Oryzias latipes: one gene and its partner. Each later gene encodes a partner of the first gene's protein in a complex. Links are inferred from orthologs where the notes say so. Each region holds a gene or a part of one and is shown on either strand. Other genes may lie near its edges.

Region 1 (10,650 bases):
AAAGCTGCATTTTTCCGTACATACACACAAGGCGAGCTTTCATTTTCTAACTCTTTGTGCTCTAAAAAAAAGTCAAATCACTTCAGGGTTGAGCAAAGCAAATACGTCAATTTTCTTTCAATCTAAAATATATTTCTCTGTTTAACTGAAAAAGAAAAGCACCTTTTCCAGACATGAGTATGAGCATCACTGTCTTTACATTCAAAGGATAATTTTGTAAAACTAATTATCATTTGAGGTGCATTGTGATATACAGAAATGGCTGTATGCAACAATAAGAGATAATGAGCAGGCAGGCAGAAACATTCATGGTTTTAATAAGAGCAGGCTTTTGAGACACCAGAATCACATCTTATCACTGCTGCCACACCCATCCTGTTCGAAACACTTCAGTAAAAATCGGCCATTATCACACGCAAAGGGTTTGGGATTGCTTTCTAAAAATAAAAACTGGTCTTCTGGATTTTTTACAATTTGGGGTTCATCAAGTTTGCATAACTCTAAAGAATTAAAGGCTAAACACAAGGTTTGTGAGGACACATCAAAACAGTCATCCTAAGTATTCATGTAAAGGTGCTGCTATGTGAGCTGCTACACAATTAATACATTTGACTTTTTCTGTTTATAGCTCTTTTATTTTAAAATATTTTTATCAGTCAAGCACCAATCTCTGATATGATGGCCCAACAGATAAAACAGGTCACGCTTCCTGTCCAAGAAAAATGCAGTAGGAGAGTAGTACAAACTAATATGACTCAATTTGTCCAGGTAATAAATATAATGTGCATATTGTGTGTTAATGCAAAAAACTCTCACAAACCCTCAAAGCATAATTCCTGTGATCATACACTGCTGAACAGAGAAAAATGCTGCCTTTGTCATGCAATTCAAGAACTTCTTTCTCTAAAACTCTTGTAAAAGCAGCAAACTAAGATTTTTTAGCTAAAACAAACTTATCTCTAACCATAACTTACATTGGAAGCCTTTTTAGTCGGTTTTTAAAACCTCACATAGCCTCTGAAATGGGATTTTTATTTAAATCTGCACCATACTGCCATTTAAATACATATTCTTTATGAATTGATAACTAAAATATAAGATACCTTCTTGATAAAATTGTATATACTAGTAATATATTCTGCAATTTCCTCTCTGTAATCGTTCAAAAGCTTTCATTGGACTTGAGAATGACAGTACAGACAAACCAAGAGGATTGTCTTAGTGTCCAGGGAACCAAACTTTCATTTAGATTCCCTCATCAACAGGCTAGGGTAATTCCTACTAGAAAAAAATAACAAAATATATATTTAAAATAGTCCTCTTAAAATATTTTGGTCATAATCACAACTTTGATTTACAAGAATTTATGATATGCTTCTCTGCAGCCCTGACAGATCCACATACGGAGGTTTAAATGGAAAAAATTACAAATCTACTAAAATCTGTAACTTAAACACACACTCCCTAAATGGCATGTGTTTAGAACTTTTATTAGTGTTTAAAATCTTATTGATATAAAGCAGCTTTTCTCCACAAAATCTCCTCACTTCATGTTTGTGGCGCCGTGTCACCTCGGCGGAAATGACCATCAGCTCTAGAAATTCCTCTGCAAGTGCTTTACAAGCTGAATCCAACACGCTTTTGCATATATGAAAACAAGTGTAAATGCTTTTAGATTTTTATCTTTAAAAATATAAGTTCATATTTAAACGGATGTAAAAAGAACTGGCCAGGTGCTATGAACTACGTCTTTGCTTCCTCGTCTGTATAAAAAGCAGATGAGCGGCTTTTTCCTACACATGATGTAGTTCAAGTCCTCCAAATCCATTTTGTAAGAAACATAAAAAAAACAACGAAACAAAGCTACACTGTTTGAATAACTAAAAACTAATAAAGATCCAGTCCTTTAGGAGGAATTTTTGGTTTGTTGCTGGGAAAATGTGTGTGTGTTTTTTATTTTTCAAAGGTGTGCAGTATTTTGCTGATGTCGGACTAGCTGAGAGACACAACTCTCAATGCTACAGTAGAAGGATGACCAGACGAGGACAGGCTGTTTGTAGGTTGATGAGTTTAAGACTTTTCTCCACAAAACATAAAAAAACACAAGCACAGACTTGTTCAACTCCATTTGCAGCGTGGATTCAAATTGTCCAGCAAATCACATTTCCTAATAAGCACAAATGATGGACAGATCTTTATTTTTAAAATCCAATCAGTAAATTAGCCTTTAGATTTTTACATTTTTCTTGAATGCAAAACTCCAAAAGCTAAAAAAGATAATTCCTAGGTCCTAAAGCCTGCTGAGGATATTCCATCGCTTTTTGGTTAAAAATACTCTCAATATAATGGAAATCCAAATTTTCCTAACTACATTTCCATCAAAGTGTCCAGCCCGTTCCTTATTCTAAACTGTGGTGATTAAATATTGTATGTTTATAGATATTTTTAATTTATATATTATAGAAAAATATACAATCAATGGCTAGTGGTGAGACAAAATGTCATCAGTTAAATAGGACCAATATTTTACATCTCTAAACCCATGCACATGAGACATTACTTTAACACAATTCAAAAGGTCAGATCTTAAATCAGCAAACTTCCAGCCACCCTCCTCCTCCTCAAATCCTCTTTTCAAACAGTTGTCCCTCGAGTCTTTACAAGACCACCAAACAGATTCAACAACAAGCCTCTGCTCTGTCCCACTTCACTTGAGGAACCCAAATAAATCTGGGCTGCATGGTGACCGCTTTCATTCGATGAAGCTGTATGAAGCAGCACAAGTGCGCACAAATACAACAGCAGTACCATGGAGGACTAAAGGGGGACGTGTTCTGATGGCTCCAGAGCCTCAGCTTGGTGCACGCTGATTAACAGGATCCATGCTGAATGCAACATCCTCGCAGGTCCTGCTAATTATCTGATCAGCTGTTACTGTCAGGATGAACAAAAAACATGCTCATCCTGTGTTTCAAATGGATTTAAAGTGGGTACGTGTATAGGTGTGAAGAAAGCTCAAAACGTTTTATATAGAGTGATGAAGACTACATAGAGGACCAGTAAGCACGGTATGCCATGACAATGGCTGCAGGGTTATCTGAGACTAGGAGGGAAAAAATGTCCAAAAAGTACAGAATATAAATCCAGATCCTCAACTTTGCAGCAAAAACATAGCTTTAATTTCCAATAACTGTATCAAAAACAAGTGGGTTTTCATGACACCTTACTCTAGTTTCAATCGCTGTGCATCTGTCCTTTAAAGGTTAAATAAAATCAGATATGTCTGGGCCCAGAAAACACAAGATATGCAAAATCCCCTCTGCTTCTTTAAATTCAAACATGTATCTCGCGATACCGACTTCAGTCAGTCTATGTACAATAAATAGAAAAAGCTACTCTGTAATAATGTGATATGATATTCAACCTTATTGGAAAGCTGACTGAAAGTGGGAACCTCATGCATCACTGATGGTACACAGATAAACTCGTTAAAAACCAAGAATAAGAAGAAAAAGATGCAGTCAAAAAAGTGTTGAGACAGGAAAAACAAACCTCTCAGGTCGCCATACAATGATCCACAAGCAAAACGCTGGTTTCAGATCATTGTCTCAATAAACGTTTTTGACCAACACCCCGCCCTGCCATGGGAAAGAGAATAAAATACAATTTTACTATACTGCACTGTAACGTACTGTACCTGATTTCAAGTATGTCAGGTGTGGAAACCACTGAGTTCACTTATAAATGTAACAAACAAACAAACAAAAGAAACCTTCATGATGCGGATCTTGTTAGACATTTTTCACAAGTGTGTTTACTTCGGGAACCGTGTACACAGTCATAGTTATTGCATTGTTTTTGCATATCTTGTGGGTTGCAGGAGTACACCCACTTTAAGCATCGTACTGCAACACAACACTTCATAGTTCATGCTGACCCACAAAGCACAGAAAAGCAGCAGCGCTGCTCCACGGCACACAGGGGGCGTCTGTGAGTCTCACTAACCCATCAGAGATTTGATTTACACACAGTGAGCCTGGTGTGGATCTTTTACAATGCAGGAAATTTCTTTGTTTTTGTCTATGAACACTATCCTAGAAAACAGAGGATAACTATATGACAATTAAAAAAATGATTTTAAGAATTAAAGTCTTTTTCTGTTGTTGGAAACTTTGCTTTTGTTCAAGAATCGAGTCATTCATGATTTTTGATCTAATCCAGAGATTAACATTCAACTGGAGCTACATTATGGGGTAAAATGCAGCAGCTTGGACACAAAAACTACATTTCAAATGTCTGTTATATTAATCTTTAGAAACTCAGTCTTTTTTATTGACCAAAAACAATCACAGTTCATTGATAAGAGCAGGGTCCTTTTGTCTTTCAACACTGATTGGTAATAGAAAGTAGATTAGGAAGACAAAAACTCATACTTTTGCTTTTCAACATTTTAAAATGCCTCAAAGAAATACTAAAAATGTCTTTGAAAATGTCAAACATCCTAATTTGGTGACTTTTACTTTTAAAGGGTCATAATAGGAATTTCACCTCAAAACAAGTTCTGCCACATAAACCAAACATCAATATTTAGATTGCATAAAAATGACAGAAGTCTGGCACAGGATGCAGTGTATGGCAGTGTGTTTATGCATACTCATTCCTGCCACTAATCTGCTCCGGTTTACACGTGTCAACTAAAAAAAACAGAGAGACATGAATTGGGAAAGATGCTCTAATGATCGAAATGATTTTTCTTGAAAGGAAAAAAAGAGAGTTTAAATGCCTAAAAAATACATATTTTTAAACATTTCTCCTGATTGAAGCTGATGTTTCACACAGCAACCGATCTTTATTTTTCCAAACTACCTATCATTTTTAGAGGGCATTAAGGCTTTTAACAATTTTACATTATTTTCAAAAAGATAAAGAACATCACTACGGCTAAGAGAGGGATTCAAAAAAATATTCTGTCCTTTGTGATGTTTTTGCAAACACACCTGACTGTCAATTAATTTAAGGTGAATCAAATTATGACTGAATAGCAAAAACATATAATAAAAACGATGATAAATCTGAGCCAGACATCTACAGCTTATTCAAGCTGCAGAAAAAAAAGTCTTTTTGGATACTTTTTCACTGGATATTTTGCAGTTTAGGCAAAAAAACATGATATTTTCTACAATAATTTTACTCCTACCAGATTTACAAATAAATGAAATGACACAGAGAGTTATTCTCTTTCTAATGGTACTCCTAAATTAAATTGTTTATTTTAATCTAATAGACAAATGTGTGTAATTCAGATGTCTTACAGTACCCCTACACAAGCCCTAATAATTTTTTTTGGGTGGTTACCTTCCATTAAAAAAGTATAATATATGATATGGGTGTTACAGCTGAGCAAATTAGGACATAAAGCCCCAGTGCTTTGACAAAAGGGTTGTTATGGCAGTATGAAGTTTGGTGCTTCTGTCATTCAGAGCAACCATCCATCAGAAAAAGCAGCAATTGCCAAAAGGCCTCTAACCTTATGACCTCCCTAAAGACCTTACGCCAAACGTCTAAATGGGACAGTAAAGAAAAAGTTACCCGATGGCTAGTGTTCAAAGACAGAGCGACTCTCACTCTGCAGCTTGGCTGAAAAGTAAAAGTGGAAGCATGCCTGTCCATGGTAACCCTGTGTTATGGAGGCCCATTAATACGCACAAAGACAGCTCCGCTCCCACGCACCCTACACAACGACGTACTTTTTTAAAAATGCTACCTTAAATGACTGTCTAGGCTTAAAATCGGCTTTTTAGAATACACAAACACGCACACATTCTCACATTTTTTTTCTCTTCTGGGAAAAATAAATAAATAAATAGATACAATCTGTAAAAGGTGCATACTGATAGAGAGGAGACCCCTCTCTCCTATAGTTACACATCTCCCACACTCGTGCACACTAACATCCTGTACTAAAATGCAGACATACACCCGCACACAGAAATATAGTTTATAGACTTGCACGCAGACACTACGCCCTGCTTCTGTACTTTAAACCTCTTAAATTCTCCTAAAAAATAAACCAAGCAAAAATACATTTATAAGACCAGCACCCCAATTTTGCAAACGACTCAAAGATAAATTAAAACACTGATGTTCATGAGTATTAAAAAAGAAAAAATCATGGCTAATCAGTTTTGCACATAATAAAAAGGTTAAATACATAGTGGGCTTGGTCTGCACATGGAGTGTGTGGCAGCAAATCCAGAAGGATTCCTAACTGAGAGGAAGAGGCAGGTCTTGGAGCAGGAAGTACGGTTGATTGATGGCAGATCCAGTATAGACCCCCCCCACTTGCCTGGAGTGTTTTTATAAACAGTCACTTCCCTCCTTTTCTTCCACCCCGCCATCTAAGTCCTGCTTGACAAAGACACGCCTCCCAAAGCGCAGAGAAAGAAAAAAACTACAGAAATGGTAAAATAGGCAAAGATGATAGAAAAAGTATCGAGGAAAGGTAGTGAGGGGTGATGAGGTATCAGGCAGAGAAGGGGGCTCACTGTTTCCAATTATCCACCAAAATGCTCCTCTCATTTCCCGTTTGGGGCAGCAAGAAGGTGGGACCAAACGGGGGAATGCGGTGGAGGGTTTGAGGCCAGATTAAAGTACCGTGACAGACGAGGTGAATTTCTCTCTTGCTTGCAAAAAGAAGAGCTGGCACACATCCAGTAGAGCGGAGTATCTTTCTCTTCTTGTGGCCCCTTCTAGCAGCCCTGTGGGACCATCCCTCAAATACTTTCCCCCCCGGTGACTGGGGCGATGCACACCTTAATCCCATTTTTGGGTTGGCAGGGTTGTGCTCCAAGGTTCTGTAGCTTTGGAAGAGGAGGAGAAATGAGACTTCAAACAGGGGTTTCCCAGCCCCTGTTGTACTCAATACAGCGCTTTGTTATTGGCTAAACAAAGAATGAGGAGGTGACCTTTGACCCAGAGCGGGCGTGGTCAGATTGTGATCCTTGATTGATCCCTCAACACGCAGGTCTGCTGTCCCCTAGCTGGCGTCAAGGCGGCCAGACAAACAACAGTGACACACCACCACAGTAAGCATAGGACATGAACACATTAACATACTGGGTCATTTTCAGAAAATCCATAAAAGGATTTCCTGCCGTCTTTGTCTTCTCTTTCTTTCATTTTGTCCTGTTTTTTCTCTTTTTTGCTTCTCCCTACTTTTTCTGCTTTTCATACTTTGAGGACATGATAAAACTGTGAGGCACTTCAGAGCCACACTCAGACACGTGTGGAGAACACACACAAACACACACAGATAGAGAAAGTCACACTCACACTCCCATACGCTCAGATAATATATAGTCTCATATAATTTACTACAAATATTCACATACATACTAGCTCAGAAACCAACAAGTCATGTGTTCAAGGTTGCATCACTGGTCGCCTTTGTCCAGAGCGACAATGTGTGAGTGCGCAGGGACAAACACAACCAGCTGCAGCACTGCTGCCGAACAGCACTGGCGCCGTCGCTCTCTGATGATGTCAGAGGGGCCATTTGCCCAATGAACTCTCTCAACCCCTACAAACTCGTTACACATTCCATATCCTCGTCCTCCAAAAGCCCACTGTCCCTCTGTCGCGCTCCTGCAATGACAGCAGAATTTCTATGGTGCTTTTCCCTCCGCGTCACCTCTTCCTCCTCCTCTTCTTGGCCTCTTTCCGTGGCTAGCAACTCCTGCCGCTCCTCTATAGAGGACGGCCCATGTATGGAGATTCTGTTTCCTGCAGCTTCTGCCCCATCTTCGCTAGAGGTCAAGCCAGCCACTCGGTCCCTTTGTGTTGATGCTGCTGTTGTGTGGAAGGGATGAAGGCTGCCGTTTGGACTGTGCTGAGAGGTGGAAGAGGTGCTGGGTGAGGGGTTTGAGGCATTCTTGCCATTGAGAATGTTGTTGGCAGCCTGTTCCATTTCCTCTATTGTCATGTCGCAGGCATCAGCCAACTCGACTTTGGTTGCCTCAATGAACGAAGGATCCTGGGCGAAATGGCCCAAACCTTCTGATATCAGGACCTTAACAGTCAGAAGAAAAATGAACATGAAACAGTGAAAATAGTTTTCTCTAGAAACTACACACTTGCAGTAACGACTAAGACTCACCGCTTCTACCAGACTGCCCGCGCTCCCATGAGACAGCGAAGTGGAGTCCTTCCCCAAAAGTGAGGGTACGGTGAGCGACACTGGCCGTGGAGCTCTTTGACTGGACGCTGACACGCTGGGGCTGGGGCTGGGTACCCGGCTGTTCCCGTTACTGTCGCTGTACCTGAGAGCAAAGTATTTCACAATAACACCAAACTGTCTTCATTTAAACCACTATTTAAAGGTACTCATACTCACCAGGGCCCACAGCTGACAGAAGGCAAGCTGGTATTGAGCTTTTCATGAGAGTTGGAGCCCTCTAGCCTCAAAGAGGGAACTCCCTGATAGGAGGCATCACTGCAGTGGGCTTAAAAGCAAACACGACATTACAAACAGATCAACACTATGATACTTATTAGGATAATTTTGTCTTTTTTCTTTCAACTTATCTGAAAAGCAACTTTTTTGCGGAGAATTGGATTTACCTGCAGGACTGGCTGGAGGCGTTGAGCACAGCCGGCTAAACAGGTTGGGTGAGTGACTCCTTCTCAGCTGAGGACTCAACCCGGCCACTGCTAGAGCCTAAATGAGAAGAAAACGTTAAAAAGTTGTTGTTAAAGTAAATGTAAAAACATGTTCACATGCATTCGAATGTGCATTCAAGCTGCTACTTCCAGTAAAAAGTCTGGATAAACGCGTATATTTGTAGGTTTTATTTGTAGGGCTCCTGCGTTCAAACTCTTGTGATCAAGCTTAGCTACGCACATTTTGAAGACAAAACATGGGGCCACTGAACACACATTGAAAGTTAAACATGGTTGAACTTTGACCAATCAGGGACTCGGATTTGGTAATGATGTATGGATGATGTCCCCTTTAATTAACACAAGCCCCAGCTGTTTGAAAATTGATCATGGAGGAGAAATTAATAATAGCGGTTTATATGACAGCAAGTCTTTCATAAATCCGAATAGAAAATTTGTGAGGTTTGCACAGCTTCGATATTTCACACCAAGCCTCTCCCAACTGTAGGTGTTGGACCAGCGCTAGTAAACAGTAGAAAAAGAAATAGAAGAAGAAGAAGCCCCTCCCTGCTTGTCCAGAACAACATGGGCGTGTGTTCCCCCCGTTTGAACGTAGCACAAGAGTTCAAGAGGTTAAATTGTAGTTTCAATACAATGTGAATTTTTTTTTTTCTTTACTACCTGGTGATGTACAAGATGTAAAGGTGCAGACGTCTTCTGAGAGACTTCTGGCCTTGGTTGTCTCCGGAGACACTCCAGGTGGAAGGACGATCTCCGTCCTGACACGCAGAACAAAAGTGTAAACAACTAGAGAACTAAACAAGAAAGGAACGACTGTTGACGTGTGTCTTCTCACCCAGAGAGGTTGGACAGAGGAAGACTCTTCGTGGAGACTGCCACCCTCCACTTCCTCTTCTTCCTTCTACTTCTTCTGCTTCCTCCATGGGAGTTAGCTGCCTGCATGTGTCATCATGATACACCAACCTTAAAAAGTGCACACAAATCCACAAAACAAATTCAAACAAACCTTGCAAGGGTTTAAAACTTTGAGATGAAAACAAAACTGTGTTGTTGTTCTTTTTTTTTTGTTAAATTTATTTTCAGCAGTACATGTCAGACGAAAGCGAGTGATCATCTTCGTGGTACTCTCTGTCGTCACCATAGCTCTCATCATACGTCTCCTCTGTTGACCCCTCCCCTCTCCGGATGATTGGCAGATGACTGTCACTGGAGTCGGAGCTACAAACAAACACGCATACAACCAGACAAGCAAGCAGACAAACAAAAAAAAACACACAATTATCACAAAAAAACAAACCACAGATGGCAGTACGATTAGACAAACAGATGCAGACACAGATAAAAAGCAGCTGATTAGCTATACAACGTCAGCAAGGAGCTGAGGAGGAAGAGACAGAAATCCACAGAGATTTAACCAAAGCATGTATGAACCAGAAAGAGGAGCTGAAGCAAAGGTCTTAGGAGAAGCAGTTGGAGGCTTGCAGCTGTTTTGTTGAAGCAAAATGGTGAATAGTATTTTAGGCAACATTTGGAACATGAGAAATGACGCAAGACTGAAGTTAAGACATCTTTAAAACCGAAAAAAGACACAAAAAAGGCAAACTTTTTGAACGAGGCTTTCTATAACCCAGTGGCTTCACGGTAACTTTAACTTTATTAAAAACTCTTGCCAGAATGTATGTATTTTTAGCAGGAAAAATTGTCTTAACGTTGGTAAAGACTAAATAAACAAATACCAGAGAATCCAGGGCTATTAGATTGGTTGATCTGGTTTATCAAACCTATTTTAAAAATCAAAATCTGCCATTCTGCATCTCAAAGATGTCTTTTTATCAGTTACATCAATTTCATATTCCACACAAGCTTCAAGGAACCGTTCTGACATTTGAATTTCGGTCTTTAGTTCTTCACCAGGCTGTTTAATCCATTCAAACACGTTTCTTAAATAATCCTTTATTTATAAATTATTAT
Region 2 (10,650 bases), on another chromosome or scaffold:
AGTAGCATTGTTAATCGATTATGCTGGTCAGTTAGAAATGTTTGAGCTTTTCTATCTGAAGAGCAGGAAATGACTTGCTGTTTTCAGGGGCAGTACCATGGCAACGCAGAGGAGGACAGCAAACTGGATTTGGCCTTTCAGAGAAGGAGGGGAGCTGAAAAAATGAGGCCACTGACACGTAGAGGGGAGTGGGGGGCAGATATTATTTTACCTCTGACTGGTGAAAGGGAACGGGGCCCCAGGGGCAAAGGTACTAAGTTCAGTCGTTTGAGGTGTTGCCTTCACAGTTTTAAACAGTCCACCGGTTTGGATCGAGACTACAGATCTGTTCTTCATCTAGCTGTCCCTGTATTTTTGCACATGTGTGTGATTCTTCTCGGCTTCATAACAGCAGAAACCGGGCTTTATTGCACTACTCCTTCTGTCTAGCGAGAGCAGGCTGCAGAGGTCGGTTCAGGTTGCCGGAGTGCCCATCCCACACCGCAACGCCGTGCTTCAGACAGTGTGCTCTTCCTCTTTTCCCTCACTGGCTACAGCACCGTCCAAGTCAGGCCACAGATCCATGTTTCTGCGCAGGGAGGTGAGCACCTGTACCTGCAGGTTGGAGACGGGCTCGGGAGACGCAGCGAGGGCCGCCGTGGCCATAGTACGGTTGAGTAGGGGGTTGGGAGGGTTGCTGCTAGGTGGGTGTGTTGCCTTCCAATAAGCCTCCAGGTAGTCAGCCAGGTGTTCGCATGCGTCCTCCAGCTGGTTCTCATCCAGGATGATGTCAAACAGTTCCTGTGCCACAAACAAAGCAAGTCTTAGTTGGTGTTGCAGAAGCAGAGAATCAAAAATGTCCAAATAAAGTATAATTCCTAAATCAGGACTCACAGGTGGACATTGAGCCAGCTTGTCTGCTGCAACCATCTGAACGTTTAGATGTTTCGCCTGAGACTTTCCTCTGGATTTAATGAGCCTCTGGAGAACCTGCAGCGAGTCAACAGCAACAACTCAAATAGTACCGCATAAAAACAGGAGCTTGAAGCCAAGCTCATTTAAGAATGGGGCGTGGCCATTGGGGTAGGTGAAGCGTTCCAGCAAAAGTTTGTCCGTAAGATTCTAATTCAGCAACCTGATGGATGAGCGTGATGCATACAACGTTGTGGCGATGAGTGCTAAAATACATTTTTACTCTGTGAACTCTTTAAAAATACTGTACTTGATGCAAATATTCCCTTCATATCTCTAAGTGACACCACTATTGGAAAATCTTGTTTCAACTGTGCTCGAAAAAATAACAAGATCATACGTGCCCTGTTTCAGCAAAATGTAATTTCTGTTCCCTCTGCTGTTTTTTATTGGAGAAAATTTATTCCTGACTTGCCGTGGAAAAATGTTTGGACCCTGCATCAGAAATTATTAATTAATAACAAGATGAGAGACGTCTCCTACAAACTCCTACATAGAATCTATCCCACTAATCAATACATGATCAGATATAAGAAGACTATTGACCCCAACTGTACCTTTTGTAAAGAACACCCAGAAACAATCAGTCACCTATTTTGGAATTGTAATACTACTAAAAAACTTTGGAAAGATTGTGCATGTTTTATAAATTATAATTTAGATTCACAACATCAGATGAAATTTGAACATATCATATTTGTCCTACACGAAAAAAATATAAGATCAAACGTAAAATTGGCAATTAATCTAATTATAATATTTGGTAAATTTCATATTCATAAATCAAAGTTTTCTTCATCACAACTTTTTTTCCCTTTAATAATTAAAGAATTAGAATCTTATTTACATACTATTTCTAATAGTTTAAACAAAAAGGCCGTACATATTTATGAAAACTGTCTGTCTCTGAATATTTTCAATGCATAGCATTTGTAATCTTTTTGTAATACATGTACCATCCCCTGACATTGTTGTTGTTATGACTATTGTTCCTGTCATACATATTTGTTCCGTTTGTGTTGAATAATAAAGTTTATTAAAAAAAAAATCCACTCGAAGTACAAAAAAAAAAATAATAAAATACATTTTTACTTTGCCGTGTGTGAAAACAAATACAGGGCTGCAGTACACACTGTCAGAAAGAATGAAATAAAGCATATTAGGCAAACTCAAGTGCTCTTCTTCAACCCGTGACGCTGCTTCATCATATGTAAATTTGTTTTGGGTGTTTTTTATCCCCATTCTTGAAGCTCTCGTTTGAGCACCGGAACAATTTCAACAGCACCAGTTTGGCACCAGATGAAATTCCAAATGGTACCCATCCCTACAAATTAATACCAGACATGAAGGTTTACCTTGGGAGATGCTATTTTGATATAGACGATGATGGGAGCCAGAGAGGTCTTTGCCAGCTGAGTGGGGTGGTTGATGGTGTCTGCATCCAAAGCAACGAGCTGCAGGGTTCGGGCCAGCTCGAAGATGCGCTCAATCTCACTCTGCACCTCAGCTGACAGCACAGGAAAGAGACACAAATAAATAAACAAACAAAAAGTTATTAAAAAGCAGGCTGCTTTTATCTTTAAGGAGATGCAGCTTTGAACAGCAGTTAAATTCTCTTACTTTCTGCATAGTTATTAAACGAACATGTTAGTTCCTCACCGTGCACGTTTGGATTTTTTTTAAAAACAATGACAAAAGCCCACAAGCTTTCAAGGATGTAAATCAGGTTGGACCACAGTTTTAAGTTCCATTTATTCAGAGCTAAATGGAGCACTGGAGCATCTTCATTCAGTTGCCACCTCCAGACATTTCAGATTCTCTTAAGTGCTTCTGATCATTTCTAATTTGAGGTTGTAAAGGAAGGAGGCACTTAGAAATGAGATGCCTGTGGTACTTGAAATAGCTTACAATGAGGGCACAATTCTTCACCATGTAACCAAAACAGAAACAAACAAAATACAGATAAAAAAAACATACAGCATGGGGGGAGAAAACGTTTTTTTGTTAGCACAAATAGGCACAGCAAAATTATTGCATCAGGATAGCCATTCTAGACGGAGGACTTTTTGTTTTCATTGTTCCTCAGCCACAGCCAACCAGAGCTTTTGCATTTCAAGCGTAGTTCCAACATTCATCGAGAGGGAAAAAAATGGCGCCTGACATCATCTGCCGGAAGTGGAAAACATACAACTTACCTTAACCTTAACCCAGAAGTGATCAGAATTGTAAAAATAACATGCATTACAGCTTAAAACTGGAAATATTCTAGGTAAAACTTTATAATAACTATGGGTTATAGCTTGGTAAATTATTAACAAAACTGTAAGTTAACGAGTTATAAATAACTTTGTTAAGGATCTATAAATGTGCCTTTATAACTAAAAATTGATCATGAACAAGCATTTAATAAATTTCTCGACAACGATTTGTTAAGTATTAGGTAATGGCTTATCTGTTACTGGGATGTTGTTTCAAAGTGGAAAACATTCCTCATTTATTAACCGTTAAGAAAGGAGGGACATTTCCAACATTGATACACTGATGACTGTTATTTATAACCCATTAACTAACAGTTTATTCATGATTTATAATAGATGATTTATAATGATTTATAATAGATGATTATTATAAAGCATTACCAAACTGGAACTGGCAGGGTTTGCCAGTTTTTTTTCGAGCGATATGGGGCAGACTTCCGGTTCTGATTCTGGATGTCGATGTCTACAGCCAGGGTTAAACTGACAGCCAGAGTGCCCCTTGCCCTGGGGGTCAAACATCAGCACCTCCAAAGTTGTGCCAACTCAGCAGTGATGACAGATAACAGGCCGTTTAATCGACAGGGGCCCCATATTTCAGAAGCCTCCAGGAGGACTCCAAATTAAAGCTGTCCAGTCAGTCAGTCCAAGTGACAAGAAATGGGAACTTTTAAGGTAAGTAAATATGGATAACAACTGCAATAACTCAAGTTTTAACAGTATATAAAAGGTAAAGTCCAGCTCGTATAGGGGCCATTCAAGAGTCTTACTAAAGACGTACTGTATCCAGACTACTTTTAGGGGTAATTGCAATATGTGGTTTGAACAGCAGCAAGCAGTCGCCCACAGATCTCTGCCTGCGCGGGTTTCGTAATTCTTTCCTTTTTGTTCCAGACTGCAGGCTGTCACTCTGAGGTATGAGGAACAGAGAAACTGACAGGCAAACAGACAAACAATGTATGAGTACATGATGAATATAGTTAGGGGGGGAAAAGCGAAAAGAAGAGGGAGAGAAGCTGCATTGTTTCATTGCACGGAGAGCATACATACCCAGTACGTCTGAATCACAAGACAGAGAAGGAGGAGGAGGAAGAGGAAAGGTTTGGCAGAGTAAGGAGGATGGTTGAAGGGCACAAGAGACAAGATGAAAAGAGAGAAAAGGCCTAAATCAGACTCGATCAGAGGAGTTGTAAAAGCTTACAGGTCTTTTGATGAGGTACATCCTATGCTGTGTCTACCCTATTATGGCTAGGTCCTTAGATGAGTTATAACAAGTTGGATTCAAGGCTCCGAAGAATCCCTTTTTGGCATGTTGATCTAACATCAGCTCCTCCCAAAATGTTCTAATTTCTCCAATTTTTAATCACAAATTCCCCTGTGCCTGAGCAATCAAGTCAAACTGCAAGATGCAGCTACAAAAGCCAAAATAATAAATGTAGATTTGTGCTGAAGTTGGTTTGTGAGAATCAGAAACACATAAAAAATGTCTTTCTTGCTATTTGAATAAGCTGTTTGGAGTCTTATACTTTAAAAAAAAGTGTACCTAAAGAAACAGGGATATGGAAGAGACAGGAAAAGATGTTCAGCAACACGACACAATGAACAAACATCTTTAATTTTCCAGAGTTTCATTTTATAAAAGTTTTCACTGCCAGAAGACGTCTGGTCACCGAAGCGAGGTTTCTTACCCAGGCTGGAGCGAGTGCTGGAGCGCTCGATGATGGTGTGTTTGCTGGGGTTGTTCAGGACTGAACGTTTGGCCAGAGAGATGTCTGCTGTCACCCGCGTGATGGATATTCTGAAACAGAGATCCAGCACTTTACAGGATAAACGTATAACATTACAGGTCATGCATTGTTGAAGCCTTTTTTTTTTTCTTTTACCTTCCTTCAAACTTGTGTTTCAGAAAATCAAAGAGAGCTTTCTGCATCATGTCTGTCACCTATTGGATAACAAAACATTCAAAAACAGACAGCCATTAGTGTAGTTAGGTTCATTAAAAAGCAATAAAAATTTTTTTTTAATATGTTTTTTAGAAAAAAAATAGTTTTTCACATATTTCTTTCACTATAAACACTTATTTATGCAATAATCTTAAATCAGCAAATAATTTTCTGACTCAGCTATGTCTATTTTAAAAGATAGGTTTCTCCTAAAAAGCAAAAACACAAATTGAATAAAGTGTAAATATACCCGGCACTCACGATAAGTAAGGGATACTGTGAAAAACTTAGAGGATGTTGTAAAAAGTGTTTCACTTTACAGATTTTCAGGATACGGAGGCAATTGTATTGGAGTGGTGAACACTTTATTTAGGGTTTTTTTTCACATAATGACCTGACTGTGTTCATTGTCTTACTTAAAAGCAAAACAACAAAAATTCTAAAAGAAAATCCTTTTCAATGTGGCATCAATTTCAGCATTCTAGGGATGTAAAAAGCTGATTTTACCAGTAAGTCATTCCATCATCATCATTCAAACAGCCATGAGCATCGCTTAATGGATGAGCAGCACCATCTATCTGGCGATGGCGCGCCTTCAGGTTGGTACAGCATGCAGTCAGATGTGAAGTCAGGTGACCTTGTCTTCAAGTGTCATCAGCAGACTTCCATCAAGACTCGGAACTACTGGCAGAGTTTGTGAAAAAACACAGCCATGTTCTGCACACAGAAACACCACGCAGTTGCTGGCCCGTTTACCAGATGTGAGGGGTACCAGAGTTTCTGGAACATTCACAACCAACTCCACTGCTTTGACTGGAATGTAAAGGGTTTGCCATCCTAAATGAAAGCTTTTTTTTACTTTTATGCAATTAATAACTCATTGATTAGTACATTTTGCTTACATTAACCCACTTATGGAATCCTAAGGAAATGCAAGCCAGTTAAAACCAGTTAGGTATACATGATCTTACTGGCAGGAGCAGAGGGCACCGACACAGACCACTAAAAACGTAGATTTGGTGAAGACGACCATTTGACGTATTAAGGACTATTGGAGGTTTCTCCAATAGTCTCCAATGGAGGCCAGACATTGGCCTGAAGCCACCCTGGGGGGCCACCCTGGAGGATATATCTGTGGGATCCATTCTACTGAGTCTCATGGAGATAATCCCGATAAGCCTTCCTCACAAATGCCAGACAACCATTGCAGGTGACTCCACTGACAGCAAGACAGGGCCGTGTAAGTTTGCAGCGGACACAAGACCATGTGACCTGGACAATGCAGCAATGGTCTTCCATCATGTTCACTGATGAGTTTGGGGTCACCCTACCCAGAAATGATGGTCGTCAGCATTGTTAGAGAAGGTGAGCTTTGGTGGAGGAGGAGCAACATTCTGGGCAGGCATCACCAGTTGGAGATGGTTCAGTCACTGCACGCTCCTACCTCAGAGACATCATAGAACCACCATCATCCCCCAATTCCCCCAGGACACCCCCAACTTTCTGTTCATGGATGATAACACTCCACCACATGGTGCCAGAATTGTTACAGCTGGACTTCAGGAAGTCGGAGTGCCTCATATGATGCGGTTAGCAATTACCCCTGAGCTGAACCCCATAGAGTACGTCTGGGACCAGCTGAAGCAGAGACTGGATGATGGTTACCCCCCCCCCCCCCCCCCCCCCCCCAAGTGATCTGGCAACACTGCATGTGGCACTTGTGGAAGAGTGGAACGCCTCAGAACAACATCATGAGACTAGAGGGGGCAGAACGTCGCTGTCAATTCATATCAAACTAATCAAAATAGTGTTTATTTTCCTGCATTATTAGAAATATCAAAGGGAACTTTAACGCATTTCATTAAAACTTAAACTAAATGCGATAAGAACTCATGCAAATAACAATATCCCTTACTTATTGCGAGTCGTGTAATTCAGTATAAATGTTACCATAAAACTAACATGTTTGTAGACAACTTGGAGCTTTATTCATATTTTTTTAAAGTAATTGTTTAGTTTAGATTTTTACAATAATTTAGAGTTTTTTGTGTTTGTCATCATAATGTGTGTCTGACCTCATAGCCTTTGAGAGACGGTCCCACCAGAATGATGGGTCTCATGGAGGGAACCACATCGTAGGGAGGGACGTGTTCCATCTGAGCCAGGACAGAAAGCACAGGAATCAGGGCGAGTCATGTCACCGTGCCATGTTTGCACATACACTCTGCACAGCTACACAAAGCTCACACTGATCAGCAGTCAGTTACACTCATGCATAAATCCCGGTTGTCACTCTCTGATGCAAGAGGTCAGATTGATGGATGGCAACTTTAAGATGCTGGAGTCCATTTTCCTTTTATTGAGTGCCTATGAGAGCTCACAGCCGGGGATCAATTTTAAACGGAGAGCACTGGCCTCAATTTCTTTGTCTGCAGTCTCACATAATTAAAGTGCCCATAATTAAACCAGACGCAAAGGTGTCAAGAAAGCTCTCGTGGCTGTCCCACAACGTCTAAAGCAAATGCTGTCTTCCTTTCTTGGTATAAATCAGAAGAAACCGCCAAAATATTGCAAGGAAAATCGTCAAAACTTGATTTTTTACTAAAAAAAAAAAAAAAAAAAAGGATTTAAAGGATTTCAAATGTATCAGTCGGTGTAAATGCCAAATAATATTCTTTACTTTCTGTGAGCAAAATACTGCACCAACACCACTAAATATAGAATTCTGAAGTGGATTTAACATGCAAGCCGCTTCCACCATTTACATGAAAAGTGAACCATTCTGTAATATTTTCTACTCATCACCTACACACAAACATAATCCACACTGCAGCATGTGAACCCATAGACTGTGAATCCTAACAGGAGTGATTCATCCATATGAGATCCATACGCATCAGCCTGCTTTAGCAGCTGTTTTCAGATGGAGAATTGTCACACGTTCCACAGATTCGCTTTGAGCGGCAGAAAAGTTCTGGACCTGCTCCTCAACATAAAATGCAGCGGCGGAAGCTCATTTCACCTCTTTTGTACTCACTGGAGCTATAAATAAATAGTCTAAAAGCATCCAACTGGCTCCTGTCAATGCAAGGGTCAAAGCTGGCGCACCGAACATAACAGTGCAATCCGGTTCTCTGAACTGCGTGAGAACAGAGCAGTTTAATGTGGCGTTACACAGATGAAGGCAAGAATCACTTCAAAAAATTAAGTGTTATATTTATAGAGCAAAGACACAAAAATAAAATCTTCTACAAAATGTAAAAATATATTTTTATGGGATTGGTTTCATTTTGCTTAACTGGTAGAATAGAATTACATTCTGTTTTTTCCAAAAAACAGTTTTTTTCCTTTTTCTGTGAACCTCTCAATGACAGAATGGTGGTGTAACATGCATGTCATTTGGAGGCTTTATATATACAGAATTAAACATGAAAGACCCACTCCATTTATCTTTTGATCCAGTCCTGGTTTTCCAATTGTTTTTTTTTTCATGATTATCCTGTTTTTAGCTAAAAAACAAACAAAAAACAGTTGTTTTGTAGGACATAATTTCTGCAGAGTGGCAGTAATTCATCAGAAGTGCACCTCTTAATTGTGGCCGGGACCGTTGCAAGCAACCCCGCCCCTCTTCCCTTGTCTGTTGCGGAGCGAGAAGCTTGTAGCCTGCCAAGCGTATCTTCTAATCACAAAAACCTCTTTTCCAAACTGCATTTTTTTATTTATTTTTTTCATCTGCTCCTGATTCCTAACAATTAAAATAAAGAAATACTGCAATTTTATGCTCAATTTTCTTTATATATGTCCATATATGTCCTTTATCATCAGAAAAATGCCACAAGAACATGTTAAAAACCCCATTTTCAGTGTGGGTCTTTCAATTGGATCTTCATTAGTAAAAAAAAATCCTACAATGTAAGCATTACAGTTTGAATAGTTACCCTAACCTGGATAAATGACTTGCTGTGAAAATACTGTAAATTGGTGTTTTTTTTCTCCTGCACGTATAATGCGAGATCCAAATATAAATTGTTGTGAAAGGCATGTCAATTTGTAAATGAAGAGCCAAAAGCAAAACTGAAAGACAGTCAGACTGACTAATTGGGGCGGATCTGCACCTGTATCCTGACAGCTGGGATCCAGATTGAGTGGAATTGACAGAATCATCAATACCATTTACACGTTTTACTCTGACAGTTCAATTCAGCTTCAATTTTTTTTTAAGCACAAAAAGCTAAAAGCGATCACATACTGAACAACACAAGACAATACAAAGCGGTAACAACTATAGCAGGGGGTTAGTTTGGGAGCAGACCACACTCACCGACTTCTGTTTCTGTTTAGCTGGACCCCCTACAGTATCATTCCAGGTAATAGCAGGAAGAGGCAGAAAACACAAGACCACATTTAGTTATAGACTTGTTAGGATTAGAGCAGACATCGAGAGAAAAGCTGTTTATTGATTAAAGGTTACACTGCCTGCCTGCAGTGGTGAGGTTAAAAGAGGAGGATTTTGAGGAGGAGCAGCCATGTCAGCGTTTGTTAGTTCAATCCTCTCCCAGCACACAAACATATCCCGCCATGGCCATCACGGTCAGAGCTTGAGGAGCCAAGTAGGGGTAGATTTGGGTGGTAAAGTGGATGTAAGTGCAGTGGCGAAGGGAGTTTATAGGAAGCTTGAAGGACCGTATTCAAAAAGGTGAGTGCGGGGTTGAGGAGCAGGGATGCTGCAGAGGGAAGCAAGGCATCTTGGGACCCCTAATGTTACCTTCTTAAAGAAGGGCAGTCGGTGGGCGTTGGCCTGAGGGGACGTTACGCTCCCCGACATGCCCTTGGAGGAGCGAGGCTCTCCCTGGGACTCAGGGGGCTCCTCGGCTTCCAGGTCGAGGGGGTCAGCGTCAAAGGGCATCGTGGAAATATCCACGTGAGCTGATGGGTTTGCGGAGGCACAGAACAGAAAAGAAGGAGGAGAAAAAACAGGATGAGGTGAAGAGAAAACAGGAAAAAAAAAGACACAAAAGGGTGAAGAACAAGTAGAAGAAAGAGGGTGAGAGGAATACTGGAGGTGGTAAGAGATGACACAGGCTGCGATCGAAAAATGTGATAAGTGTGATTTAAACTGGGAACAAAAGCTGACAAGAGTTTATAAAAAGGACAGCAATGATTACCAGGAAGTAAAGTGCAGACAGAGGGTGTAATGACTAGAACAGCAGGGAACAAAGTGAATTCAGTGTGAAAGCAACCAAACCTGAAGCATAGATGTGAAAAAACAGCAGCAAAGCAAGCAGACTACAGGAAAGGTGACCGAAGATGAATTGTGTTGGTGGACTGAAAGGGCTGTCGTCATAAAATTACAGGATATTGTGGGTTTAATTAGATTTTTGATTGGGGAGTAAATATACGGTGGCCCAGAAGGGTCACAACACAACACATTAACTTTATACACAACACACAAACTTTACACACAACACACTAACTTTACACACAACACACTAACTTTACAC

The links. Proteins that work in one complex are often made in the same cells at the same time.
Region 2: voltage-dependent L-type calcium channel subunit alpha-1C (region 1) and cacnb1 share a complex: the UniProt entries of both Homo sapiens proteins name them as parts of the calcium channel complex. The link is inferred for Oryzias latipes from reciprocal best matches to the Homo sapiens genes CACNA1C and CACNB1.

Annotation. Positions count from the first base shown.
Region 1 is NC_019881.2:14,672,582-14,683,231, reverse strand, and holds part of voltage-dependent L-type calcium channel subunit alpha-1C, read right to left. Parts: intron 9,898-10,650; coding exon 9,769-9,897; intron 9,643-9,768; coding exon 9,515-9,642; intron 9,438-9,514; coding exon 9,340-9,437; intron 8,717-9,339; coding exon 8,620-8,716; intron 8,502-8,619; coding exon 8,393-8,501; intron 8,319-8,392; coding exon 8,156-8,318; intron 8,069-8,155; coding exon 7,580-8,068; 3' UTR 1-7,579. UniProt on the Homo sapiens protein: Pore-forming, alpha-1C subunit of the voltage-gated calcium channel that gives rise to L-type calcium currents. Mediates influx of calcium ions into the cytoplasm, and thereby triggers calcium release from the sarcoplasm.
Region 2 is NC_019866.2:5,368,946-5,379,595, forward strand, and holds part of cacnb1 (voltage-dependent L-type calcium channel subunit beta-1), read right to left. Parts: intron 10,076-10,650; coding exon 9,915-10,075; intron 9,500-9,914; coding exon of another isoform or gene 9,471-9,499; intron 7,306-9,470; coding exon 7,225-7,305; intron 5,149-7,224; coding exon 5,090-5,148; intron 5,005-5,089; coding exon 4,895-5,004; intron 4,266-4,894; coding exon 4,257-4,265; intron 2,459-4,256; coding exon 2,307-2,458; intron 970-2,306; coding exon 874-969; intron 781-873; coding exon 595-780; intron 1-594. UniProt on the Homo sapiens protein: Regulatory subunit of L-type calcium channels. Regulates the activity of L-type calcium channels that contain CACNA1A as pore-forming subunit.